7 linked regions of the Macaca fascicularis genome follow. The protein of the gene in region 3 binds, or shares a complex with, the protein of the main gene of each other region. Links are inferred from orthologs where the notes say so. Each region holds a gene or a part of one and is shown on either strand. Other genes may lie near its edges.

What was found.
Region 1: CC2D2A (region 3) and TCTN1 share a complex: the UniProt entries of both Homo sapiens proteins name them as parts of the tectonic-like complex. The link is inferred for Macaca fascicularis from reciprocal best matches to the Homo sapiens genes CC2D2A and TCTN1.
Region 2: CC2D2A (region 3) and TMEM17 share a complex: the UniProt entries of both Homo sapiens proteins name them as parts of the tectonic-like complex. The link is inferred for Macaca fascicularis from reciprocal best matches to the Homo sapiens genes CC2D2A and TMEM17.
Region 4: CC2D2A (region 3) and AHI1 share a complex: the UniProt entries of both Homo sapiens proteins name them as parts of the tectonic-like complex. The link is inferred for Macaca fascicularis from reciprocal best matches to the Homo sapiens genes CC2D2A and AHI1.
Region 5: CC2D2A (region 3) and TMEM107 share a complex: the UniProt entries of both Homo sapiens proteins name them as parts of the tectonic-like complex. The link is inferred for Macaca fascicularis from reciprocal best matches to the Homo sapiens genes CC2D2A and TMEM107.
Region 6: CC2D2A (region 3) and B9D1 share a complex: the UniProt entries of both Homo sapiens proteins name them as parts of the tectonic-like complex. The link is inferred for Macaca fascicularis from reciprocal best matches to the Homo sapiens genes CC2D2A and B9D1.
Region 7: CC2D2A (region 3) and TMEM67 share a complex: the UniProt entries of both Homo sapiens proteins name them as parts of the tectonic-like complex. The link is inferred for Macaca fascicularis from reciprocal best matches to the Homo sapiens genes CC2D2A and TMEM67.

The regions. Positions count from the first base shown.
Region 1 is NC_088385.1:117,523,226-117,526,725, reverse strand, and holds part of TCTN1 (tectonic-1), read right to left. Parts: intron 863-3,500; coding exon 728-862; intron 223-727; coding exon 97-222; intron 1-96. UniProt on the Homo sapiens protein: Component of the tectonic-like complex, a complex localized at the transition zone of primary cilia and acting as a barrier that prevents diffusion of transmembrane proteins between the cilia and plasma membranes.
Region 2 is NC_088387.1:59,409,932-59,414,078, reverse strand, and holds the start of TMEM17 (transmembrane protein 17), read right to left. Parts: upstream 2,801-4,147; 5' UTR 2,694-2,800; coding exon 2,594-2,693; intron 1-2,593. UniProt on the Homo sapiens protein: Transmembrane component of the tectonic-like complex, a complex localized at the transition zone of primary cilia and acting as a barrier that prevents diffusion of transmembrane proteins between the cilia and plasma membranes.
Region 3 is NC_088379.1:14,692,461-14,695,960, reverse strand, and holds part of CC2D2A (coiled-coil and C2 domain-containing protein 2A), read right to left. Parts: intron 2,177-3,500; coding exon 2,020-2,176; intron 1,197-2,019; coding exon 958-1,196; intron 1-957. UniProt on the Homo sapiens protein: Component of the tectonic-like complex, a complex localized at the transition zone of primary cilia and acting as a barrier that prevents diffusion of transmembrane proteins between the cilia and plasma membranes.
Region 4 is NC_088378.1:39,537,206-39,541,213, forward strand, and holds the start of AHI1 (jouberin), read right to left. Parts: upstream 2,801-4,008; 5' UTR 2,618-2,800; intron 2,285-2,617; 5' UTR 2,223-2,284; intron 747-2,222; 5' UTR 356-746; intron 1-355. UniProt on the Homo sapiens protein: Involved in vesicle trafficking and required for ciliogenesis, formation of primary non-motile cilium, and recruitment of RAB8A to the basal body of primary cilium.
Region 5 is NC_088390.1:8,261,417-8,265,526, forward strand, and holds TMEM107 (transmembrane protein 107), read right to left. Parts: upstream 2,801-4,110; 5' UTR 2,676-2,800; coding exon 2,589-2,675; intron 2,413-2,588; coding exon 2,345-2,412; intron 2,262-2,344; coding exon 2,143-2,261; intron 1,303-2,142; exon of another isoform or gene 1,204-1,302; intron 1,037-1,203; coding exon 940-1,036; intron 695-939; coding exon 625-694; 3' UTR 423-624; downstream 1-422. UniProt on the Homo sapiens protein: Plays a role in cilia formation and embryonic patterning. Requires for normal Sonic hedgehog (Shh) signaling in the neural tube and acts in combination with GLI2 and GLI3 to pattern ventral and intermediate neuronal cell types.
Region 6 is NC_088390.1:19,104,799-19,108,763, forward strand, and holds the start of B9D1 (B9 domain-containing protein 1), read right to left. Parts: upstream 2,801-3,965; 5' UTR 2,762-2,800; coding exon 2,699-2,761; intron 540-2,698; coding exon 471-539; intron 1-470. UniProt on the Homo sapiens protein: Component of the tectonic-like complex, a complex localized at the transition zone of primary cilia and acting as a barrier that prevents diffusion of transmembrane proteins between the cilia and plasma membranes.
Region 7 is NC_088382.1:103,443,512-103,447,011, reverse strand, and holds part of TMEM67 (meckelin), read right to left. Parts: intron 2,677-3,500; coding exon 2,578-2,676; intron 493-2,577; coding exon 394-492; intron 31-393; coding exon 1-30. UniProt on the Homo sapiens protein: Required for ciliary structure and function. Part of the tectonic-like complex which is required for tissue-specific ciliogenesis and may regulate ciliary membrane composition.

The sequences.
Region 1 (3,500 bases), on a different chromosome or scaffold from region 3:
GATGTAATACTTAGAAATTCAGTTTTATCCACTAAGAAGTCATTATTTCTTTTTAACTTGGCAATTAAATACTTATGCCAAATTGATCAACCTTACCTGAAGAAAATGAATTTCAAACTTTTGCTGCAGTGGGACCACTACACTGCTAACTGTCCCCAGAAGGAATGACAGATCAGCTTTGGTGACTTCACCTCTATCTGTGTATGTGAGGCTGTATTTTACCTAAAAAAAAATGATACTCCTAATATACCTGTTCCATTACATTTCAGAAGCTGTATGAATAACTGAAAATACCCACAGATAGCAAATCTTTCCCCATTTCTCCATGTGTTAAAGCCTTGCTCTGCTGTCCAGTTGGATTACGAGAGGTGTTCCCTCAGCACCACCCCTAGCAGACAAGGTCATCTGAGCCACTCTGCCCAATTACAGAAGTTCCACATAAGCTGGTCCAAGCAGAATGTAATAAGCCTATCTCTGCAGAGGAAACATGTTAAAACAAAAACAGCAACAACAAAAATATTTTGATGTATTCCGGCAAGTCACTAGGTTTGTGGAGACAAGAGGTGTCCTTTGATGAGACAGCAGAAAGGCAAGCAGGCAGCCAAGCCAGGTAAAGCCACACCACAGGCTAGGACAGAGTGTCCTCGGACGGCATCCAGTTACCCCAGCGCGACAGGAGGCTTAAGTCTGCCACAGACAAGCTCTCAAAGCCAAATTCGGCACCTACCTCAAGAACAACATTCATGCAAAGGTGAAAGTGTCCAGCATTGACGAGAGCCGGCTGTAGCACATCAGTGTCTTCCCGTCGGGTGAGCGTTTTATTTAGAGACTGAATGAGGACTGACTGAACAGTGATAGGGACCTGCAGAGTGAAGACCAGGAGTGTTGAAGATGCTCTACCCAGGGAGGATGGGCTAAAATAACAACCAACTGGAAAGAAACCTCCCCTGATATATGGCCAAGTAGGGGGAAGCATGCTACACAACATGTGTATACTATGATCCACATTTGCAAAAGTAATAAACATATATACATTCACAAAGAAAATACTTGAAGATATAACCAAAACTTTAAAAGTAGTTACCTCTAATAACAAAGTTTACACAAAAACTTGTACACAAATGTTCACAGCTGCACTATCATAATAGCTAAAACCAAAAACCACCGAAATGTCCATCAACTGATAAATGGATAAATACAAAGTCTAGCCTTACAAAGGAATATGACTTATCCTTAAAAATAGTACTAATACATGCCACAGTACAGATGAATCTTGAAAACATGCTAAGTCATAAAAGCCAGACACGAAAGGCCACACTTCTAATTCCATTTATACGGAATGTCCAATTGGCAAACCCATAGAGATGAAAACTAGATCAGTGGTTGCCAGGGGCTGGGGGACAGAGCTGGAGAAGAATGAGGAGTGACTGCTAACACAGGGCTCCTTTTTGGGGTGATGGAAATGTTCTGGAATTAGTGGTAATGGTTGCACAACCTGTGACTATACTAAAAGCCACAGAATTGTATACTTTAAAATGGTGAGTTTTATGGTATGTGAATTATATCTCAAATACATACACACAAAACTCCATCACACTGTCAAGCGCACATATATATCCTCACCTCCAAAACACAACTCCTACACACTCCATACCCACACATGCACATTCACACACAGTCCCAGGATACATATGCTTAAGCCCCCACACACCCCCGAATATTCATTTGACCCAATTTATACACAACTTCTACACAAATGCAAGTGCACACATACATAAACACACACACACACACAGTGGTTTCTCTGGGTGGTAGGATTATGAGCAATAGAAAACAGACACAGACAAACGTTTTCAGCAACACCAGGAAGCCCTGCTTATCCCAGTGCTATTAAAGGACATTTTGCATTCATGGCCACCGCCAGCAGACTAGCAAGGCATCAACCCATCCTCTAAAGGTAGCTGGGCCTCCTCACACTATAGGATGAATCTGTCATTTGCTCTAAACTTCAATTCTTGGAAACCACTGTTGAGGAAGGAGCCTCATGTATCTATTAATAGTTGTTTATACCACTTTGAACTTAATCATGCACCATGCTGTTTATAATTCAAAATGACCAAGTATTTAAGCAGTCATTTTAGAGATAAATAAGCAGTCCTTATGTGTCTGCCCCCATGACCAAGAAGACCTGCGAGTCAAAACCTCTCACAGAAGAAAGTGACATGACTCAGTAACAAGGTTGTGAGCTGTCATGTGACGAGAATGGCAGAAGTGCAACGCCAGTCACTGCGAAGCCCTCTGCATAACACACCGCACCAAAGAGTTTCAGCATGGAGGGGATCCTAGGCTGCGATTCAATTAGCTCTTGTTTAACATAAGGACAACCTGGGTTCCTTACTCTGAGCACAGTGGCCCCTGATTCAGCAATGACACCGGGTTCCAAGAAAGAGCATAGCCTGCCATACCAGCCTCTGCTGAAGCCACTTCCATGGTGTGTCCGTGGAATTGGCAAAAACCAAAGGATTCAATATCAATGAGCTTTGGAGAGTCCTGGTGTCAATGGCAGTAGCTGCCCTCATCTCAGCAGCTCACTCAACAGTCACGAGAAGGAAACGGTAGGGCCGTGCTGATTTCCTTGATTCCTCTTTCACCACATACCATTCCCAAACCACACACTGGTAAAGAACTCCAGCATACTCAATGAAACTACAGGGCTACCCTGGAATCATTTACTGATGGCTTCACAGATACTGTCAATGATTCCAGGCAATCATAACAGTCTTCACTTAGTGAGGAGATTAGACCCAATTTCTATACTCCTGATCCTCTAACCTTAAAATCTGCTTAAGAAAATTTTAAACAAATTCCTGCTATTAGTTTACATGCTCGTCCTTTAGAGCACAACCTTTGGTGTCACACAGACCTAAGCTGGAAGTCCCAGTCCACTGGGTGTGTGTAGCCTGTCATGTGGGCTCACAGAGAGAGCTGGCCCAGTGTGGTGGTAAAGTATAAGGTCCCTGGGGCCAGACCGCCTAGATTCCTGTCCCAGCTCTGCCACTTCCCAGCTGTGCAGCCGTGGGCAAGCTCATTCATCTCCCTGTAACTCATCTGCCAGAGAGTGACAGTAACTGAACCTACCTCCTAGGACAGCCAAGAGGATTCAAAGATGGTGGACACGTACAGCACTTAGAATGGTGCCTGGCATCTGCTCCAAGCCTCCCAGTAACATCCATCACATTCCTCATAATAGGTCTTTCCACACTTACTGGACCCACCTCCTTCCTAGTCATTAATCACTAAAAACATAACTCACTGAGTGCCCAGAACATACCGGACGCTGCATTAGAAATACCGATATATCATGAACAAGGCTGATAGGGCTGCTGCCCCCACAGACAGTTCCAGTTTTAAGTGGTAGAATCCAAGCACTCTCTAGGGATTGGAGGGAGGTGAGAGCTAGCCCATTGCATGACTTTCACACTGCATTCCTGCGAGCCCTA
Region 2 (4,147 bases), on a different chromosome or scaffold from region 3:
ACAGATCACGGGCTTCAGAGTTCAAGCAAACCCAAGCTCCCCAAACCTCTGTGACCCTGGATGTCAGACTTTATATAAATTATTTAAGTTCTTTGAGCTTCTATTTCTTCATCTGTAAAATAGTGAAATTAAAACTTCCTTACAGGCTGCTTGTGAGAATTAGAGCCAATATGAATTATTTCTTCCTAGCACTGTGCTGGGCACACTTAGTAGGCACTCAACAAATATTAGTCCCCTTTCCTTCTTCTCTTCTATTTATCTACTTATCTGCAAGCACACACCATGTCCCACCCTAATTTGAGACCCTCATAGAATCTAGCATCTTGCTTTATATGCAGTGAATATCAAATACACATAAGAATGAATTAATGTAAGCATACTGTCATAAGGACATTACTAGTATAGCCATTTGTGATACATGAGTTCCATTTACCTAAGGTTGATTCCATAACACTTTTTGCTTTTATGTAAGACAGAAGGGTCCTAAATTAAGAATTTGATTTTTAAAATTGAACCCTACAAAATACATCCTAAATTTGACTAAATTCTTAAGAGCGGACACATATATTGAAATCAGTTGTTCTACACGTAAGATTTTAAAGGTCCTAAAATAAATGTCTTAAGAACATTATTTCTCCTTTTCTCCATAGTTGAGTGTTTTTATCTGTCATTTAATAATTTTAAAATATAAGAAACAGTCATGGTCTCTCGCAGCAAAATAGTTTCTTTTAGCTCCAAAAATATGCCTGATTATTATGATCTACTTTTGCTTGCAACTGCTTATTAAATTACCACTGATAAATGAATGAATTCTTAAAATCTGTTAAATCTGAAGACAACTCACCAGCCTAGGATCTTTCTGATAGCAACAGCACAATGCTGTGGACATGGTAATTACATAAATTTGTTATTACAGTACAAATAATCAAACCTACTTCTGATCCACAAAGAACAAAATACGGGAAAGAATAATAAATTGGGCAAGCAGAACATTTCAGTACCTTTGAGAAGAAACTGTAGTCAAATTTTGCAAAGAACGGTTTTTATGTTAGAAGTATTGTGTGTTAACATCTTAAAGGTTATGCTATGTCCATATTTCAGCAGATCAAACTTATAATCATGGAAATGAAAATCAAATTAATATGTAAATGAACCTTAAAAGCATAAGATATACATTTACTGAATTTTGCAAAAGTTCAAGTTGAGTTCTATAAATGGAATTTAAATTAAAACATACAATATAAATCAGGGATAGGTAAACAACTGGTCAGCTGCCTAAACGTTTTTGTACAGTCAATGAGCTAAAAATGTTTTTTCACCTTTAAATGGTTAAAAAAGTAATATTTTTTTCATACGTGAAATCCATACGAAATACAAATTTCAATATCCTTAAAGTTTTATTGGAACACAGCCATGCCTATTCAATAACTATTGTCAGTGGCTGCCGTGGAGACCATATGGCCTACAAAGCCTAAAGTACTTACTATCTGGCCCTTTTCAGAAAACGTCTTTTTACCTTGTATTATCAGACGTTAGTGCTCATTAAGCCTCATCCTTGGAACCAGAAACGTGAAACCTAATTTTTTCACATTTTTCTCTGTACATCCTAAATCATAAAGGCCTACATTTGGGGAATAGGCAAGTGATCAAGACGACAAAATGCAGCTTTGGGGACTGCCTTTACTTTTCTGTCCCTTTTAAAAATTCTGTAAAACCAAGCAGTGGAAAAGATTTATATTTCCCAGCAGACTTGAATGATGGAAACCACACGGGTTTGGTTGACAGTGTGTTGTCTACCATCATGATGTAGGAGGAGGAACCTGTTCTGGAGGAAACTGTGTTATCACTTGTCATCAAGTTGAAGGATGCAGAGGCATTATGGTATTTTCTTACCTTATGGTAAGAGTTACATATAGGGGAGGAGGAGGAGAAGGCAGGGAAGGGGTGAGTTTTGTTGAACGTCCGGCTAGTATGGCACATGCCAGTTGGGAGTGGATGGTGGTTTGAAAGGACTCTTAAAAAAAAAATTTTTTCCCCCTAATCTTTTCTGCCAGAAAATGGCCTTGCTTAGGAACATACTTGTTCTGCTAGGAAAAGGGAAAAGGCAAATTTGCTCCCTGGGCGGCGGGTGGGGACAGGGGAGGTGGGGATTGCTTGGGCTGTTCCTCGCCATCCTGGACAGAAAAGCCGGGGCGGGCGCCGCAGAGGAAAAGCAAGTTGGGCCTTCGCTCTCGCGGTGCGCGGGGGACTAGCCTGTGCAGCAAGGGCGGCTTTTATCTTTTTATTTTTGGGGTTTCCCAGGAGCCATGATGGGCCTTGCGTGGCACAGAGGTCGGCCCCACCTCAGCTGCCGGGCTTGCACGGAGCAGGCCAGGCGTTAGCGCGTGCAGACCAGGCCCAGCCCGCGGCCGGAGGCCGCCAGCGCCTCAGCTCCCCGCCCCGGCCGGCCCCTCCTCCAAGGCTCTGGCCCGCACTGCGGGAAACTGACTGAAGGCGACATCGCCATTTTAGGTACGGGCAAATTCTGGACGCTCCAAAACCCACGCCAAGCCCTCAGCAGGCCACACCCCCTGCGCCGGCCTCGGTCACTCACCGGGACCCTCACTGTACTCCGGACCGGTCCGATTGGAATCAGTGAACACAGCCCGGCTGAAGTTTCCCAGCCGCTGGCGCACCGGATCCGGCAGCTCCATGCCTGGGCCTCGGTATCCCTCGCCCCCTCAGATACAGGCTAGTCTGCGGGCGTTCCGAGGCTCCGTGGTTCTCATGGCAACCGGCCGGCGCGAGGCCGGCGAGATCCGGGAGCGCGCGGGGGTGCCCGGCTGGGCCGGGTCTCGTCGGGAGCCCGCGCAACCTTGAAGGGACCGGCGTACTCAGAGCGCGTTCCAGGCCCCGGGAGCTGCGTGCCTCGGCCGTGTCCAAAACGGCAGATCTCTTAGTTCTGCTTTGAGCCCGACCATCCTAAAAACAAACCTATACTAAGAAATGAGCTGGGGTTGGACTGCGATACAAGGAGCCCTCATATCTTGCCAGTGAAACTGTAAATCGGTACAACCTTTCTGGAGGGAAATAGAGAATGAATGCAGAGCTTAAAGAATGTCTAGAGGTGTAGGGGTATGTGTGAGAGAGAGATACTATGACTGATTATTTTTTAATAAGAAAATAGAGCAATGGGCAACTGATTAAATGTACTGGAGCATATGCATTCAATGGAGTATGTTTCAGCTGCTTATAAAATGCTTGCAAAGAATATTGAATGATATAGTTTATGTAAAAATAAAGCAGAAATAAAACTAAATGAGAATAAACCTAATTTAGCAAAATTTATGTGTATGAGTGGAGGGGAGGAGAGAGCATGTGCACACCGACTTCAAAAAAAACTGGAAAAAAATATTAACAGTTATCACTGGATAGTGGGATTGTAGGTGATTCAAAAATTTTTAAACACTTCTGTATTTTCTAGCTTTCTCTCTAAGATATATTACTTAATATATCAGCACCCTGTTCAAGAAACGTTACAATATTCCCAGAAACTCCCCCTTCCTATTTCCTTTCAGTCACTAAACCCCCTCCTCACTCATAACTGACCTTTCCTGAATTCTAACAGCAAAGGAGAGTTTTGCCTTTTTTTTTTTTTTTAAATCGGAACATTTATTGTGTGACTAATCCAAATATATATATATTTTTTATTCGAGACAGAGTCTTGCTCTGTCGCCCAGGCTGGAGTGCAATGGCACAATCTCGGCTCACTGCAACCTCCGCCTCCCGGGTTCAAGCGATTCTTCTGCCTCAGCCTACCGAGTAGCTGGGATTACAGGCGCCCGCCACCACACTCGGTTAATTATTGTGTTTTTAGTAGAGACAGGGTTTCGCCACGTTTGCCAGGCTGGTCTTGAACTCCTGCTGCAACAGCTGTCCTCTTGGGTTTAGGTGGTGTTCCTTCAGAAAAGCCATGCCTTAACCTGCTGTACACAATTTTTAGGTGCCTCATTCGACCAGTCTCGTTGGTATTTTGTTTTTTAGCCTCGGCACTCCAATTATACTTTGTCTTGGCTTGGGAGCCGAGCCACATTTGCCACAGGCAAACTTTTCAAGGAGGTAGATCTTAGAGTCACAAGGCAGCACTAGCTGTGCATCTTATTGCACC
Region 3 (3,500 bases):
TGGCTAGTTTTTATTAACCTTTCTTAAACATATTTATTTCAACGTGAGGTATTAAAAATGTTTGGGGTATTTATTTATTCAATAGAGGCGAGGTCTCATTTTGTTCCCCAGGCTGGTCTCTAACTCCTGGCCTCAAGCGATCCTCCCACCTTGGCCTCTCAAAGTGCTGAAGTTATAGGCATGAGCCACCATGCCTGGCCTGAGTTTGTGTTTCTAACAAGTCCTCAGTGATGCTGATGCTGCTGATTCCAGGGCTATACTTTGAGAACCATGGCTATACAGTGAAGGAAAGAATAAATAGGAAATATAAAAATATTTTTATTATGTTATAATTTTAAAAAAGAAGATGAACTTATAAATGTATGTTTATGGATTTATTATATATACAAATGTATATAAATCAAGTGATGTTTCTCAAGTAAGAATGACTAGACATGTATTTTTATCAAATCTGGAGGGTATGCTTCAGATGGCCTGACTTAAATACAAGCTATAGGGCACACCCACAGTGTTTTGGGGGGTCTTCAAGGAGACAAGCTGAAATCAAGGAAGGGGCAAGGAGAGGCATCCATGCCTGTGCCAGAAAGGTGGGACATGCTACCAGTGGACTGAAGACTCATTGAGGTTACAGATAAGGGACTCAAATCAAAAGCCACACAGCCAGCCACTGTGAAGAGCAGGCAGAGATTTGCAACTGGGATGCTTCTCCTACAGGGAGCTTTCCAGCGCGCTCCTGAGTGGCCAGTGCACATGCATGAGGTAGGTGAATCAATGAAATCACCTAAAGTGGGCAAATGTCAGCAATTTCATGTGGTTCAACCTAATATTCATTCAGAGTTGATGATTCTCCTGATGCTAAAGTAGGTCGGTAAGTGTACACTCCCCATAGTGTGCATGTGCCCACATGAACATGTGTATCAGATGTCAGCCTCATTTATGGTCAGAGCATCCACTCACCTGGGGCACTGATCACTGGGTGTTACACTTCCCGCCAGGCTTAGCTCTGGAACCAGCGTGGGCTCCCAAGGCCTCCTCCTGCTCTGGGCTGCTCTCTCCCTCACCTCATGCTCTATCACTGCCCGATCAGTGGGCTCCGGAGGGGTGGGCTTCACAAGGTCCTCCTCAGGATGTGGCTCCTCAATCTCATCATCGGGATGATCTTCTGCTGCTTGTTCCCTTTTCTTCTTCTTGGCCCTCTGTTGGGTTTGAGGCAACATGACATCAAACAGGAATTTTGGAATTTCATTTAAGAGCACAGTCTTCAGAGCCAGATGGACCTGGATGCAAACCCCAGCCCCATTTCAAACAGATGTGTGTAATCAGGCAGGTCACTAAGCCACCTGACCTCTCTGTGCCTCAGTTTTTTCATCTACAGAATGGAGCCCAGGAAATATCTCCCAGGGCTGTTGAAATGAGACTGTTAAAATGCCTAAAAAGCATTTACCATATAGCCTAGTCCCTAGAAAGAGCTTAAAAAATGGTAAGTATTCATGTGATCATTAATTTTGGTTTTCAAGGCTAAGGACACATCTTGAAATATTAAAATAAGGCATGTAAGCACAATGAGCATTGCAGGTCCACCTGATCTGTTATTTGTTGCCCTTGGACTCAGTTTTGTAGGGTCATGTCCATAAAGTTATATAATTTTCTGAAGGAAACTCCAGAGCATCAATCCCTACATTTAATGGAATAATGCATGTAAGATACTCAGCACAGTGCTGGACACAAGCATTAGTGATTACTACATTATTACTTAAATAGTCACAGAGTGCTACCATAGCATTCTCTATGGACAAAGCTGGCTCTGGTATCAATCAACTGGGTGGCTTTTTAAGCAAATGCATTAGCCAGTCAGTTCATTCATCCTTTTATCCCTTAGCCAGGGGACAGGGGAAGAGACAGAGGGAGCCACAGGATACCCTAGTCTGCCAGTCTGGTTTCCCCACTCCTGTACTGGAGGCTGTCCTCCCAGACCCTTCCTGGCCAGCCCTATTCCAGGCTGAGTGTTTGTTTACACACTTGCGCTTTCCTCCAGGCCTTCCACTGGTGTAACGACGTTCTGTACTCTTCCATCTTCTGTGCGTACTCCTCCGTATGCTCTTCCAACAGTTCACTTATTTCAGCTTGAATTTCTGCTTCATATGCTTCTTCATCTGCTTTCTGGTCAACTTTTTCCCTTTAAAATAATTTGTAGTCCATTGGTTATTTCTGGAAATTAAGAGAGCAATAATAACAGCAAATACTTCTATTGAACTTGCCATGTGCCAGTTCCTCTTCTAAAAATATCACACATGTAAACTCACAATCCTGTAAGGCAGATGCTGTTATTATCCACCTCTTATACATGAGGTGACAGAGGCCCATAGAAGTTAAGTAAGTTGCCCAAGAACACACAGCTGGTGAGTGGAAGGGCTGAATATGAGCCCAACCCCCTGAACACTAAGCAGCCATGCCTCTCTGCGTTAAGTGATCTGTGTGGTGTGCTGACACGGGGCCTGTAAGTTCTCAACTGATAGTGGTGGAAATTTCATTAGTTATTTTATTACTTCTTCAGGTTTCTGAGGAACTGCTTCATTTTGTTGCTACTGAGTCCCTGAAACCACTTTAAGTTCTAGGGTACATGTGCACAACGTGCAGGTTTGTTACATATGTATACACGTGCCATGTTGGTTTGCTGCACCCATCAACTCGTCATTTACATTAGGTATTTCTCTTAATGCTATCCCTCCCTTAGCCCCTCACCTGCCGACAGCCCCTCACCTGCCGACAGCCCCTCACCTGCCGACAGGCCCCGGTGTGTGATGTTCCGCGCCCTGTGTCCAAGTGTTCTCATTGTTCAGTTCCCACCTATGAGTGAGAACATGTAGTGTTTGGTTTTCTGTCCTTGTGACAGTTTGCTGAGAACGATGGTGAAACTACTTTTTTGACTTTGGATGGAAGATTTGGGTTTTTCTTTGATGATTTTGCTTACACTCCACCAGGAGATCAGCCCAGTTCTGTTTCCCACGGTGTGTTCTGTAGGACATTAGTTCTGTGAGATGTCCCACCAGGAAAAGATATTGTGTCCGTATCAATGCTGGATTAAATAAGTGTGAAATGTTCCTTGCTGGTCATCTTTTCAGAGCCCTTAACATGTTGATGAACAGCATGGCTCTCCTGGTGGGCGGCGGCAAATGTGCAGTGACTGCATCCATCCCACCCAGCACTTTGGAGATGGTGCCGAATACTGACTGCACTATTTTCCCCAAAGCAGTTAAGCTTCGTAATCCATTTTACAAAAACCTAGACAAGTGCATAGAGCTGACAGATATTTGCTTATGGACACATGTTGCCTGGAGTTTAAGCAGTTTACAGTCCCCCAAGGCACAAGCTCTTACAGCTCTCTAGGATGACTACCAAATAAATCACTTTGGATGCACAGTGGTACCCAAAATTTATAAACATCGGGGGAATTTGGCCTCAAAATTATGTCCCATCTCTGATATACAGAAAACCATTCA
Region 4 (4,008 bases), on a different chromosome or scaffold from region 3:
GTTTATGGAGGGGCAGAAACCTAGCAGGCTGGGGCTGAGGGGTGAATGGAAGGTGACCCCTGTAGAAGGGACATGTAGACAATTCTTTACAGAATTCTTCCAACTGTCTTTCCACCACCCCTAAAGGCAGTGACATGAGACAGTAACTCTGGGACAAAAACACTGTGGAAGGATTATGCTGTTTGTTTTAAGATTGTTTCCATGCCACTATCACCTTACCCTTTTAAAAAATAAATCATCATCTATACAGCAATCAGTGTAATTTTCTAAAATTCAAATGTGACGGTGTCATTTCTTTGCTTAAAATTCTTCCCTAGCTCCCAATCACACACTGAAAAAAATATCAAGTCCTTACCATTGAGGTCCAAGGCCATTTATGAAATGTCCCCTTCACACCATACGCTGTGTTCCAGCCATGTGAAACTACCTCCAGGCCTTCACATGTGCCACGTCCTCTCTTGCTTTTGTATCATTACACATATATCCCCTCTCCTGAAAAATGTCCTTCCTCCTTTGTCACTCTAACAAACTCCTCATTATCCTTTGAAGGCAAGTATCTTCTCTAGAGAGCATTCGCACCTTGAAGGGCAGTGAAGCACTTCTCTTCTGTGCTCCCAGGATGCCTGAATCTTTGTAACTCCCTCTACCTCAGCCCTGAATTTTCATCCTGGTTAAATGTTCTGTCTCCCACCAAACTGCTAGCTTTGGAGGCCACGCCAATGCTCTCTATAGTTATGTATCTGGCACTATGAAAGAAAAGAGGAGAGAGAAGAGAAAACACGAGAAGCAAAGCAAAGCGAAGCAGTAGCAACGGTCCTAGAGTAAAAAAGACTCAGGTTTGACCTCCAGTGTCACCACTTACTGATGTGTGGCATTGGGTAAGCTACTTAATTTCTAATCCTTGGTTTTTCCTTGTCTGGGAATTTAAAATGGCACCTGTTTTAGTACTGCAAGGAGAAAATACCAAAAAGCAAAGTAATGAGTACACTGCAATAAAATTACTTTATGTCCAGTATTATTGTATTAAAAATAAGTAATTATTAATAAAATACAGAAATCATAGAATTATTTACTGTTAATAGCTTAATACACAACTGAATAAATACTAATATTATTTAATAACACAGCAAATACATTATAGAAATAATCTCTAATTTTTTTTTTTTTTGGAGACAAAGTCTTGCTCTGTTGCCCAGGTTGGAGTGCAGTGGCACAATCTCAGCTCACTGCTGCCTCCGCCTCCTGGGTTCAAGCAATTCCCCTGCCTCAACCTCCCTAGCAGCTGGGACTACAGGTGTGCGCCACCACGCCCGGCTAATTGTTGTATTTTTAGTAGAGATGGGTTTTCACCAACATTAGCCAGGCGGATACTGAACTCCTGACCTCAAGTGATCCACCCACTCTTGATCCTCCCAAAGTGCTAGGATTACAGGCCTGATCCACTGTGCCCAGCCATCTCTAAATCTTAATGTGTACTACAGCAAACATATGATAGAATTAATGACTAATATTTAATTAGTAACATTATCTGCGAAAATTCAGGTCGGACTTTAAAAGACACCTCCGAATCTTATATATTCCATTATTTTACAACTTCTCCCTCACAAACCCTTTCACAGGAGCTTCTAAGAGATACTATGTAGGAAAATTAAATGGATTACACCTCATCTCATTTTATTTTACAGACCACCTGATTATCAGCCAATATGTGACTCAATATCAATGGGAGAAAAAATTGAGAGGCTTGATAATTCCCTCTTTAACCAAATGTTATCGCAAGGGAAAAAAAGACAAACAAAAATCCTGTACACAAAATTCAATGAATAGATCAACAAGATTCTTCATAAGTACACAAGATTCTAACTTCATAAATATTATTCTTCATAAACAAGATTCTAAGTATGGTTTAATAACACTTTTGGTATTTTAATTTTTTCAAGCATTCTTTAAAAAATTTCCCAGAGTACTCATAAGAAGCAATCTTCCTCCTAACCCAAGCAATAACAGTAACTGCTAATGCAACAGGTGAAAAAACTGTTGGCATCTCTTTCTCAAAAGGGAAAAACTTTATTTTCACATTAGATGTTTTCACAGGAATGCCAAACGCAGCACAACCTTTGATAAGGATGCTTAAATGGTCTACATTTTTATTCTATTTTTATGCATCTCGAAACAACCCTATTAATATAATCTGGCTCTTATAAGTTTAACAAATTGATCACCTTTTCTCAGACGTAATTAAGTAGGCTTTGACAGGTTGAAGATTCAGCCCCAGGATGACACTCTAAAAGGAAATAAACACACTCAGTACGCATCTGATTTAAAAGCATTTAAACAAGAATCGGGAGTAGGAAAGGCAAAGATTGAATTCCCTATCAGAACACCATGCTCAACTCTCCGGAGACACCGAGACCAGTGAAAGAAGCGGAAAAGTACGTTGAGGACTCCGGGAAATCGCATTCCTCCGGGACACCCGGCCCACGCTCCCCGGTCAATCCGCGATCAGCCCCCGCGCTCTCGGACTCCAGCAGCCCCGACACGCCGCCCCGGAGAGGGCCGGGCAGGCCCAGCACCCCGGCCCGCGCTCCCGCCACCAGCGAACCCACGAGGTACTTACGGAGAGGAGGAGTAGGCAGAACCGTCCGTCCCGCCCAAGCCGACACCCGGAACAGTGCAAATCGACTCCCCCGCGCCCAGCGGCGCGGGCGCTAAGTGAGGCGGCCACGAAGCCACCTTACCCGCCAGCGACCCGGGTTCGGAGAGCAAGCCACTGCTCTGTGCCGCAGTGCGGACGACTCGCGGCCTGCTGACGTCAGCGCCTGCCTACACCGCCGTTCCCATGGCGACCGACGCGTCTCGCGCGCTAGGCCCGGACCGCGGCCCCGCCCCCGCCCCCGTCCCCGCGCCGCCACCGCCTTCGCCTCAGCCCGGGAGAAGGGGCCGCGCGGCGCCTGCACCGGGGCCCTCAGGCTGTTGGTGGGCGCGCGCTTCGGGGACCTTACCGGCCTCCAGCCTCCGAGGCCGTGCGAGCGGGAAGGGAGTCGGAAATGCGCGGGTGCTCCCACAGAGCTTGAGTCTTCCCCGCCCTCACCTCCAAAAATACTCTTTCCGCCTTAGAATTGTAGCAAGCGCAGGGAAAAACTGACGGGGCAAAGGAAAACTGGGGAGGCTGTTATGGAAGTCGCCCAAAATAAGAAAATCAATGAATGAGGCAAAGAAACAGATTTGTCACTCCCCACGCGGTCGCGCCCACAAAAGAAAACATGATTTTAAAGCGTGGAAAATGAAGTTGTACTACAGACAAAATCTTAAGAAAAAATTATGCACGATTCCTTTAGAGCTATCTCCCTGTGTGTGGAAAACAAAAGTTAAAACGCCATACTTTTCTGTACCTAATGCTCCCTCCCACTTTTCTGATTTCTGCCGCAGGCGCCATCTTCAGCTCTGAGTCACCAGGGCTGGAAAAATACTAGTTGCGCTACTCGTGGACTCATGAATACACGCCATTTCCTGTACCTACAGCCACGCGCTGTAACCTGTTGCTTCGTTTGTACAGAGAGAGAGTTTACGGAGGCCAGCTTTTCCATTCTCACTGGCATTGCCACACCTTACAAACTATATCTCTATGCCATGTGCTTCCCTAAATCCTTTGAGGAAGCAACGAGAAAGATTACTAATCCGCTGTGTACCAAACTGAGCTGTTCAACTTTGCATTCTAAACCTACTCTCCTAGATTTCTATCTTGCTGTAAGCCACCACTATCTTGCTGTAATCTTGCACTATCAAGTGTCAAACACTTGCTCCCAGTGTTTTAGTAAGAACTGTAGAGTATCCTAAATGCATCTTATACCAAAGCATATTCATTCTCTCTTTTTAAATTCCTCAGGTGGGCGCTTTACCAGTCCTGTGACTCCAGTTTTGACTCTTAAAATTCCCCACACTGCTATCAGAATGTCCTGACTAAAAATGTAAATCGGATAATGGCTCTCTCTTGCTGAAAATTCTTGA
Region 5 (4,110 bases), on a different chromosome or scaffold from region 3:
CCTGACGATATTTCTAAAGAGCCGACATTCCGCACTCAGTCAAAAAGATTCCGTTTACAGCTAGGGTGAGTTCACGACGCGTTGGTATGAGTAACCCTACTACTTAGCATCCTTCCAGTTGTATTGCCATATTTGCTTGCACATTTTTAAAAGAATTTTTTCATTCGGCTGCCGAAAAGGAATACATTTCTTTTTCCCAGAATGCTCCGATCATTTACGTGCTGGACGTTCTAACTGTAAGCACTTTCTATTTACATATCTCCGCCCACTCCCTTCCGCCAGACAACTACCGTAATAACCAAAATAGAAGCGATACCAAGTATCTTACGGTCTGCAGAACTAGAAAATAACGTTGCTTCTTTTTTTTTCTTCAGTAGTTTCGCCATCTCAATTGTGCCTTGAAAACTGTATATGTCTTAATCTTACTACAAAACATATTTTATTACAAACCACTAAATACAATGCGGATAATCCCAGACTCAAGACGTAATTATTCCAACACATATCCTCCAGCAGAAGCAGTTTCCGAGGGGAGGACCGAAGCCTATGCCTTCCTTCTTCCAGGAATACGAAGCGGCCCTTGCCCCTGTAGCCTTCGTCCTTAGGTTCCCGTCATGAAGGTGCTCAGAAAGGTTTCTTTTTCAGCCCAAAGACGGTGACGAATAAAGTCATTTCAGTGACAGCTGGAAGGGCACTACCGAGGCAAGTGGTAAATTCAGAAACCCTTTCAATATAAATACCCAAATCTCCAAACCAGAGACCCCACCCCTGAAAGTGTAGGACAGGTGGCATGGGGTAGGGAATGAAAATTCAAAAGACTACAGGATGTTAAGTGGATCTGGTATCTCACACATAGAGGAAAGGGCTGGGTGGGGGAAAAACCCTCAGGTTTAGGGTCAGCCTTCCTCCCTCATTCCCGAATATTGGATGCTACCACACCTGCAGAAGACAAAAATGTACCAATACGTAGTGCACTCCCAACGCTCGAATATGAAGAAGGACAGGGCCACGGATGCACTACAGTGAGCCCCAATGGCTTGGGAAGGCACCAGAGTTAAGGAAAGTCTTTGGATCGACAGATAGTGAGGGGTCAGAAAAGGCCAAAGGCCAGTGGTGGGGTTGGCATCTGCATTCAGGTTCATCGTTTGCTCCCTCACCATATTGCAAGGGCTAGAGTCAGCATCCCCGACTTCTGAATTTTAGGACAGTCATGTGAGGAGAGACCAGAAGTGACTGCGCAGATGGGATCTCAGGCTACCCTACTCCATATCTAGGGGCCAGCCTGGATCCTTCAGATGAGAGGTAAGAGTAGGCTCTCCTGCTATGCCACACAGGAGTGCTGACAGCGACTTGATATGCGCTGGAATCAGCCTCCAGTGTCCTGGTCCTCCTGGTCCACAATTCTCTGACCCATGTGCCTGGCTTCCGTTGCCTCTTCTGAGTTCCCAATGTGCTTTATATCTTTCGTTTTTTGCCAGAGTCTTGCTCTGTCGCCCAGGCTGGAGTGCAGTGGCACGATCTCAGCTCACTGCAACCTCTGCCTCCTGGGTTCAAGCAATTCTCCTTCCTCAGCCTCCTGAGTAGCTGGGATTACAGGAGTGCACCGCCACGCCCGACTAATTTCTGTATTTTTAGTACAGACAGGGTTTCACTATGTTGGTCAGGCTGGTCTTGAACTCCTGACCTCAGGTGATCCACCTGCCTCGGTCTCCCAAAGTGCTGGCATTACAGGCATGAGCCATCGCACCCTGCCTGTGCTATCTTTACACACTCCCATAGCACACTGCTTATCACACTGAATTACAGATGTGTATCTACCTCCTCCTCATGGTTAAAAAAAAAAAAAGTGGAGTTTTTATTATTACTATTTATTTTGTAGACACGGGGTCTAACTATGTTGCCTCCTGCGCGGGCCTCCCACAGTGCTGGGATTACAGACGTGAGCCAACGTGCCTGGCCAAAAACTGTATTTTACTCTCATTTCGGAATTTTAAGTGCCTAGTAAACAGCAGGATTTAGCACATGGTTGAAGATCTTTGAACTGGAGAGACTGGCTACAGCAGACACTATTGTGTCAGGTGGCTGAAGGGAGTCCTGATAGAAATGGGTCGTGTGGGAAAGGTGGGCAGGCAGAAAGGATACAGATGAGGCTCTGGGTGCTGTTGAACATGGAGACTCCTGAGAGGAAACCGGCCAGCTCCACTGCAAAGAGGCCCAGGGTGACAGAAAGCGCGGCCACCAGCCTGCAGAGAGGAAGTGGACTGGCTCAGGCCTTTGGACTTCTTCTAAGACCCCTCCACTCCCACCACCTCTTCGTTCTGGCCACCCCGTCCTAAGAGCTCACTGAATGTCCTGCTTGTCATACTCCTCGGGGGTGAACCTGAGAGGCAGGCAGGCCTGAATGTTGCTGTCCTGGGAGCAGGGCAGAGAGGAAGAGAAGTGAAAAAGGGGCAGGCTGCTGGGCAGGCCTAGGGACGGCGGAACACGAGAAAACCCAAGTGGGTAAGACACTGGGAGAGGGGCAGGGTGGGGCGGGGACGACTCCGAGATGGGAATGGGGGCGGACGGAGGGCAGCCGTGGGTCTTACCCGGGACCAGAATAAGGTGATGACGACCACCAGATGCGCCAGGATCGTCAGGAAGCGAGAGGGCACAAGCCCTGAGACCCGGCCCATGGCCCTTGGGAACAAGAGCGGCGGTCTCTGAGGCTGGAAGTTCAGAGACTGCGACTCCCGCAAGTCCACCAGCAAGCGGACAAATCTAGACGAACTCCTCCTTTCCGCCAGCTCAGGCACCGCCCAGTTGCCTTGGTAACCGCGTACGCGGGCGTGCTGCCGCGTTCTCGGAAAACCTCGCGAGAGCAGTACATTCTCCATCTGCTGTGGGTCTTTCAGGGCTAACTCAGGTCAGGGGTACCCGAAGGAGCTTCTAACCCAATGGCTGGGTACCCGTGCGCAGCCAGGCCCTTTGTTTCTCAGAGGGTGAGGGGTGGCACAGCCGCGCAGCGCCCGATCTGCCCACGCAGGGCCGACGAACGGAAACCCACCCTGGCCTAGCCTGGGGACACCTCTGCTTCCGCGGTTGCCCACGCCGGGAGCGGCCCCCAGCCCCAGCTACGCTGCCCAGTTGTGGATCACTTGAGATCACTCCCACCGCCACGCCGGGCTGAGGTCCCCGCCATGCCGAAGACTCACACCCGCTCCCCTTCCTCCTCTCCTCATGCCTTTAACTTCCCACCAAGCTGGGCCTGAGAAACAAGGGACCCGAACGTGGAGAGGCCGGTGTTCCTGGACTGCTCGGCAGTTACAGATTGTCACAGAGCCCCTGGTTGTCTGAGGACCCTAGGCCTGAACCTTCCTTGAGGAAGACTGATTTCTCTCAGACTACTTTGCTCAGTTTGGTGAAGGATTTGCAGAGTGCAAAAAGTGGTCCGCGTCCTTAAACTAGCGTGGGAATAAGAGCAAAGCAAGGTGGCTGGAAAGGTGGGAGTGGACGAAGGGAATGGTACAGTCCCTGCGTCTCTGGGAGGCTTGGAGCCTACGGGAAGGGAAACTCAACTTAGATTTCTTTATCTCTTGGAGGTGCTGGACCTCCGACATTGCCCAGCTACAGTCCAGGAAGCTCTTATCACCGGCGACGTCATGACCTTTGGGCCTCAGCGCAGGTCCCTGCAGATCTGAAAGTTCTTCTCTAATTGCTCAGTCAAGTCCCATCCTCAAGGAAACTCCCGGCCCATTTCCCAGGAGAACAATATCTTCCTACTTCCCACTCGACGTCTCAGTGCCTTTAGCCAGACTAAAGTACAAGCCCAAGAGGCATTTCTCATTCCTTCAACAAATATTTTTATATATTTATTTATTACCTAGTAATAGTATTCTAGTCAGGGAGATCAACAACAGACATGCAAACAAATAAATCCGTAAGATAATAGGTGCTACAAACAGGGATACGCGGGCCAGGCACAGTGGCTCACGCCTGTAATCCCAGCGCTTTGGGAGGCCCAGGAGGGCGGATCATCTGAGGTCAGGAGTTCGAGACAAGCCTGACCAACATGCTGAAACCCCATCTCCACTAAAAATACAAAATTAGCCGGATGTGGTGGCGCGTGCC
Region 6 (3,965 bases), on a different chromosome or scaffold from region 3:
ACAGCAGAGTGCACAGTGGGCTGAAGTCGTCACCATAGTCCCTCACCTGGTGGAGGCGAGCTACGCCTTGGAAAGTCCTGGAAGGAAAGCTCCTACTCTGTCTTCTGACTCCAGGTCCTCCCCACTGGCTGAGGAGGGGCCAAATGGTGAGCAGACTGGCCAGTGTCCACAGCTCAGCCACAGCCAGGCTGGCTTACTGGGGCCTGCCTCCTGCTGCAGGCGTTGCTCTTTGCTGCTCCAGGCAAGCTCACAGGGTAGGGCGTGTGAGTGCAGTCTTGGTGGCTGGATCAGGGAGTCCAACCATGGCTATGTCCTCTGCTCCTGCTTTACCAGGAACACTCGTGTTTGGGTTCCCCTGAACTCAGTGTCTACCTCTCAACTGGTTCTGAATCGGGAGGGGAAGGGTATGACACCTTCAGAAACCCCAAAGGTCATGAAGGCAGTAAGGGAGGCCCAAGAGTCCAGCTTACCGCTGTGGGGGCCCAGTCCTGGCCGTACACAAAGCAGTACTTGCAGTAGAGGTCATCATACTCTGGAAACTGAAAAAAGCACAGACAGATTCTGTCGACTGGTGGTATTCATGCTAAGGCCAACGCATTTGCTAGGCAGGTGCAGCCAAGAGGAATTCTGAATGTCAGACACCTGGGAGTGGGTCTAAGCGACAGCTGGAGATGTGCACGTGGCGTTCAGAGGAGAGGCTGAGGACCAAGATGCGGGAGTCCATGGGAGACTCCCAAGTGCCACAGCCCCTGGCTTTTGCTCAGGCTCTGCCTTCTGTCTGATTTGTCCTTCCTACTTCTTCATCTGGGAAACTCTTGCTCACCCTTCAAAACTTACCCTTCAGGGAGCCTGCCCTAACTCTCAGGCTGGTTTAAGGTCTCCTCTTGGCTCCCTTAGCCCTGTGCTTCCCTCCATAAAAGCAATGATTGCCTGTGTCTAAGTCTGTCAGTTCCTCTAGACCATGAGCAGAGCACAGATTTAATGCCTTTCTGTGTCCCCACTGCCTGACACAGGGCTGGGCACAGATAAGGTCTAAGGCAGGGATCCCCAACCGGTACCAGTCCGTGGCCTGTTAGGAACGGGCCCACACAGCAAGAGGTGGGCAAGAGGCGAGCAGCAGGCGAGCAAGCAAAGCTTCATCTGTACTTACAGCTGCTCCCCGTTGCTCGCATGACCATGGGAGCTCCACCTCCTTATCAGACCACTGGCAGCATTAGATTCCCATAGGAGCGCGAACCCTACTGTGAACTGCACATGTGAGGGATCTAGGTTGCATGTTCCTTATGAGAATCTAACGCATGATGATCTGTCACTCTCTCCCATCACACCCAGATGGGACCATCTAGTTGCAGGAAAGCAAGCTCAGGGCTCCCACTGATTCTACATTATGGTGAGTTGTATAATTATTTCATTATTATTTACAATGTAATAATAATAGAAATAAAGTGCACAATAAATGTAACGTCCCCAAATCATCCCAAAACCATCCCTCGCCACCTCCTGTCCATGGAAAAATTGTTTTCCACGAAACAATTGGTGCCAAAAAGGTTGAGGACCACTGGTGTAAGGGAATGGTGCTGAATAGAAAGGTCTGAGAAGCCATCATATGCAAGACTGGAGCTGAGGCCCGAAGAGAGGGAGGTGCTGAGAGCAGAGGAGGAAGGAACAGTGTGACTGTGAGTATGTGTGTGTGTGGGGGGTCAATGATGCTGAGAGCACAGACACATGTGACTCAGCCCAGCCGAGAGCCCCTAATGGGATAGAACAGGAGAGTGTGGAAAGACGGTCTTAGGCACTAGGCTGAGGCAGAGGCGGACAGGGTGGGAGCACGGAGTAGTATCCCTGATGAAACAGGAAGGCAGGAGACACCTACAAAGCATCAGGCCCTGTCAGAGCCTTACCCAAACCGTCTCAGTCAATCCTCACAATAATATAATAAAATAATAGTAAACACCACCTCCAACAGCCTGGAAGGACAGTGTAGTGAAGCTTTGAGGTCAGATAGGCGTGGGTTCAATTTCCAGATAGAATAGTTCCTTTGGTATGTTTCCCCGGCTGTAAAATGGGGGTGTTAGTAGTGACTGTCTGGCAAGATTGTAAGGATGGACCAGTGCCGAGCACCAACTTTGGGACATATTGAGGACTTGGTGAGCGTTGGTTTATATTTACAATAAATGATTCCTCTAAAGTGTAGGGGGATGGAGAGTAGCGTCCCTCAGGCCTGGCAGGCACACCTTCCTTGGGTTATTCCAGGCCACCACCATCGTTGGATGGTTGGATTCGAACCCGAGTCCAAGGATCTAGGGATTCAGAACGTAGGACAGTAGCTCCACATCGGACACGGCACAAATGCTGGAAACTCAGCCAAGCCTAGGCTCCTCGCGTTACACCCTGGGAGGCTCCTGCCAGTGATCCAACCAAGTGGGCATGATCCGTGCGAGGGTCCACAGGCTTGGCCGAGTGTGACCTCCGTACTAGCTCAACATCTCGAGGTCTGCTTCTATTCCTGCCCATCGGGACTCAGGATCCCGGCAGCCTCGCGCCAAGCCCTCCAATGCTGGCTCCCCTCCCCCGCCTAATCGAGAGGCTCAGAGGAATGACGTGGCTCTCCGGGGGCCACGGGGCAACCCGGGGGGTTGCGGGAAGGGCCCCGGGGGACGCTGGGGGACGGGCCCCAGCGGGGTCCACGGCCGCTCACCTGGGCGCTCTCCACCTGCCCGTTGACCATGAGTAGAAAGACGCTAGGACTCGCGGTCGCCATGGCAGGGCTGGGGGTTCCGGGGGGACCCACCTAGGCCGCGCGCGGTTGCTAAGAGACGCCGGCGTTGCCCTAGAAACAGACGGCGTAGCGCGCAGGACACGTTTCTTGGCAGCGACACCTTCGCGAAGGCCACGCGCGTGTGTGTGTGTGGGTGTGGGTGTCGGTGTGTGGCAAGCGCAGGCGCAGTGAGCAGGCGCCGTCATAAGGGGGCGAGGCTTTTGCGGGGCGGGGTACAAGGGGGCGGGGCTCCACACCGAGGCTCCACCCCTCCTGGGGCAGATATGACCGAGACCTGGGGCGGGAGCGTTGACCTGTGGGGTAAAGCCAGCCCTACCGCTCTACTCAATTGCACCCTCAGGGAGTGTGTGTTCACTCTGACTCGGCCCGTCTCCACCTCCCCGCCGAAGCGCGGAGGCAAATGAGAGCTGAGTCCTGGGGAGCAGCGCCCCGACTCGCCCGCAGCAAGCCGAGTGTTTAAAATGCGTTCAGCCACTAGATGTCGCTGTGGCCCCACCGCGAGGACGCGGAGGGAGGTGCTGCGGAGCGCGGCGGCGTGACCACAGCTGTCCCGGCTAAGGCTGGAAAGCCGGGTGCTCGGACCAGGCTCCCCAACTGGGGCCAAGCAGCGTCCAAGCAGGTGAAAGGGACGCGCTCTTGTGGCTTGGAGACCCTCGCCCTCGAAAAAGTTTATTAAACAAACTTGGGAGGGACCTCAAGAATCCTTACATCCTGCGGGGCGCTGTGGCTCACGCCTGTAATCCCAGCACTTTGGGAGGCCGAGGCGGGCGGATCACGAGGTCAGGAGATCGAGACCATCCTGGCTAACACGGTGAAACACCGTCTCTACTAAAAATACAAAAAAATTTAGCCAGGCGTGGTGGTGCACGCCTGTAGTCCCAGCTACTCTAGAGGCTGAGACAGGAGAATGGCGTGAACCCGGGAGACGGAGCTTGCAGTGAGCCGAGATTGCGCCACTGCACTCCAGCCTGGGCGACAGAGCGAGGCTCCGTCTCAAAAAAAGAAAAAAAAAAAAAAGGAATCCTTACATCCAAGCCATCGCTTTAGTTTGAAGCTGGGGAAACTGAGGCCCGCAGTGGGCGGCGCCTGGCACTCCAATCAGCTAGCGTTCAGGGGAGTTGCTAGCTAGAATTCACGAAATCTGTCAAGATACAGTCTTGAATCTTCGTGGCCTGTCACATAGTAA
Region 7 (3,500 bases), on a different chromosome or scaffold from region 3:
TGGTAGCAAAACAGAGACAGACTTCTGTGCCTATAATAAAAATTACTTGATTAAATATAATCACACAAAGTGTTTTTTTTTTTTTTTTTGGGAAAGGAGGGTCTCAGTATGCTGCCCGGGCAGGACTCGATTTTGGACTCACAGGATCCTCCCACGTAAGTCTTCCAATTGAACAAGGTTTTTCTTAAGCACAATTTAAAAACCAAAGAAAGCATAAAAGAGGAAGATAGCGATGTGATCGATAAGCTCAGCACACTCAAGGAATGGAGAGTTGGGCACTTTTCTTAATACTGTTGATCAAAAATTCTCCCAAACAAAAATAGTTCCTTTATAAAGAAAATTTTTCAATTATTCCGATATTGGCAGTTGGGGTAAATTCAGAAACTCACTCACTTTGAAGAAAATAAGCCAGTAAAGACCTGTTCCCACTGTGATGATAAAGAAAACATTGGCCAGATCACCAGCATAGTACACCAAGAATTTCATAACTGTCTGCAATTAAAAAAAATGAATTAACAGCTGTTTAAGACTCAATGTATAAACCACTTTTAGTAATATTACCACTTTTATACATCATCCACTACGTTTCTTAAGCCTGAAACCTCGTTTCACATATCCACATATGATCTGGCTATAAAGACCATCTGCTTCCTCCTCCTTGCTACCTTTTGGTTCCTTACCTTTCTGGCCATTCCTGGTAGCCTCTTTTTTCAACTCTTCTCATCTTTCACTATCTAAGAAAATTGAACTGCTTCCTAATTTTCTCTTAGTCCCCTTTAATCTCTCCTCCACACTAACACCAGAGTTAGTTTTCTAAAATGTGAATTGGATTGTGTCACTTCCCTTGTTAAAAATGAACAACTCCTCACTGCAATATAAATTCCTGATCCACAAGGTCTTTCACAATATGGGCCAAAATTAACTTTTTAGCCTCATCTGCCAGTTCTAGTCATGTAGTTAGTCAATGACTAACCACTCCATACTTTCATCTTGAATATTTTGTGGAATAAAATGGGCATTGTTTTACCAAATATTCTTCTCTTCCTCTCTCTGGCAAGCTCTCATGATTTCTGAGAGCACAGACTATGTCTGTCTTTGCTCACTATCACATCCTCTAGTTCCTGGCAGAGTGCCAGACACTTAGACAGTAGAGCCTCAGTGACTACTGTAGAATGAAGAGATAATCCCACTTAAAGTTCACTTCTCTGGGAAGCCTTTCTGGACTATCCCAAGTAGTAAATCAAGTCCCCCTGCTGATTCCTTAGCTCACTGGCTTTGGAATCAGAAAGATACTTTGGTTAAAGTTACCCGGTAACCTTTCTCATGTTCTTCATCAGCAAAATGGAAATGTCTATTACTGAGTTGCTGTAAAAATCAAGAGAGTAGAAAATTTAACCTTTGCCTCAATTTCATCATGTGTAAAATGCGAATAATGATAATAACCTAACTTCAAAGAGCTACTGTGAGGATTAAGAAAATTACATACATAAAGCTTTAAAAAGTGCCTGGTACATGGTAAATATTTTTTAAATGTTTGATAAAAATAAAAGGTTAAATATGAAGTGAAAGTATAAAGTTAATAGAATAAAATGTGGACTATCTTTGTGATCTTGATATAGGGAAGGTTTTCCTAAACAAGATCCTAAAAGCACTGAAAAAATATTCAGATATGATGATATCAAAACTAAAAGTTTCTGGCCAGGCGTAGTGGCTCATGCCTGTAATCCAGCACTTTGGGAGGCCGAGGTGGGTGGATCATAAGGCTAGGAGTTCAAGACCAGTCTGACCAACATGGTGAAACCCCGTCTCTATTAAAAATACAAAAATTAGCCAGGCAAGGTAGTGCATGCCTGTAATCCCAGCTACTCAGCAGACTGAGGCAGGAGAATCACTTGAACCCGGGAGATGGAGGTTGCAGTGAACCAAGATCGTGCCTCTGCACTCCAGCCTGGTGACAGAGTGAGACTCTGTCTCAAAAAAACAAACAAAAACAAAAACAAAAACAAAATCAAACCTGAAAGTTTCTGTTAAACAAAGGACCACATGGATAAAAATGACAGATGGGTCACATATTTATTTGTTCATATATTTCAACATCAGAAACCAAAAAGGGGTTACTATTTAGAAAATAAAAAAAATCCTTCACATAAACAAGAAAAACTGGAAACATAATAGAGAAGTAGGCAAGGGATATAAACAGGCAGTTAACAGAAGGAAAAACCTGAATGATTAAAATGTATATGAAGAGTACAGAGAAATGAAAATGAAATCAACAGTGACATACTACTATATGCCATGAGATTGGCAAAAATTGGAAAGGCTGGAAAAATATCAAGTGTTGCCAAGTTTGTGCAGAAATAAGAAGAGCATTGCTGGTAGGAATATAGACTGGCATACAGTATGGTGGGAAGAAAATGAGGTACGCATATACCATATGACCCAGCAATATTTATCCTAATTACATACCCCAGAAAAATTCAATGCAACTTCTTTACTTATCCTCTAGCTGTGTCTTATGAAAAGGATCCAGAAGAGTCAAAAGATTAAAATATTATTTAAAAACCGCTGAGATTATACCTGTAAGTCAATCATGGGACTCCCAATGCGCCTCTTCCATCCTGCTGTCTTCAAAAGAGATGCTAAAACAGCTAGCCCACCCAATACACCCAAAGCAATCTAAAAAACAAAAGAACAATTGAGAATTTATGTAATTTCTCTCATTGGTGTTCAAAAACACTGTGAACAGAAAGTAAGGAAGTGCTCAAAAAAATGGTGGGGTGGGACATGTTGAAAGGACACAGGAGTCAAGTTGGAGGAACTTGTAATGGCCAAATGTGGGACAATTTGAACAAGAAAACAAATAGTAACATATTATAATTACTAGAATAAAATAAATACGAGTTCACACTGATTTAAAAATAAATAATTGAATAAATAATGTGAGCAAAGGGAGAGTTTCTCCTTATAGTAAAGTTCCAAATAAATAAAAAAGTAATTAGGGAAACAGAAAATCACCATCAGGCAAATATCACAGTGAAACTTTCTGCAGGTAAGAATCATCAATCGATGCTATTCAATAAAATAAGAGGGCAGGGTGTGGTGGCTCACGCCTATAATCCCAGCATTTTGGGAGGCTGAGGCGGGTGGATTGCCTAAGGTCAGGAGTTCAAGACCAGTCTGGCCAACATGGTGAAACCCCGTCACTACTAAAAATACAAAAAAATTAGCCTGGTGTGGTGGCATGCACCTGTAATCCCAGCTACTAGGGAGGCTGAGGCAGGGGAATTGCTTAAACCAGCAAGGTGAAGGTTGCAGTGGGCCGAGATCACACCACTGCACTCCAGCCTGGGCAATAGAGTGAGACTCCATCTAAAATAAAATTAAATTAAATTAAGAGGGCCGGCTGGGTGCGGTGGCTCACCTGAGGTTGGGAATTTGAGACCAGAATGACCAACATGGAGAAACCCCATCTCTACTAAAAATACAAAAATTAGCTGGGC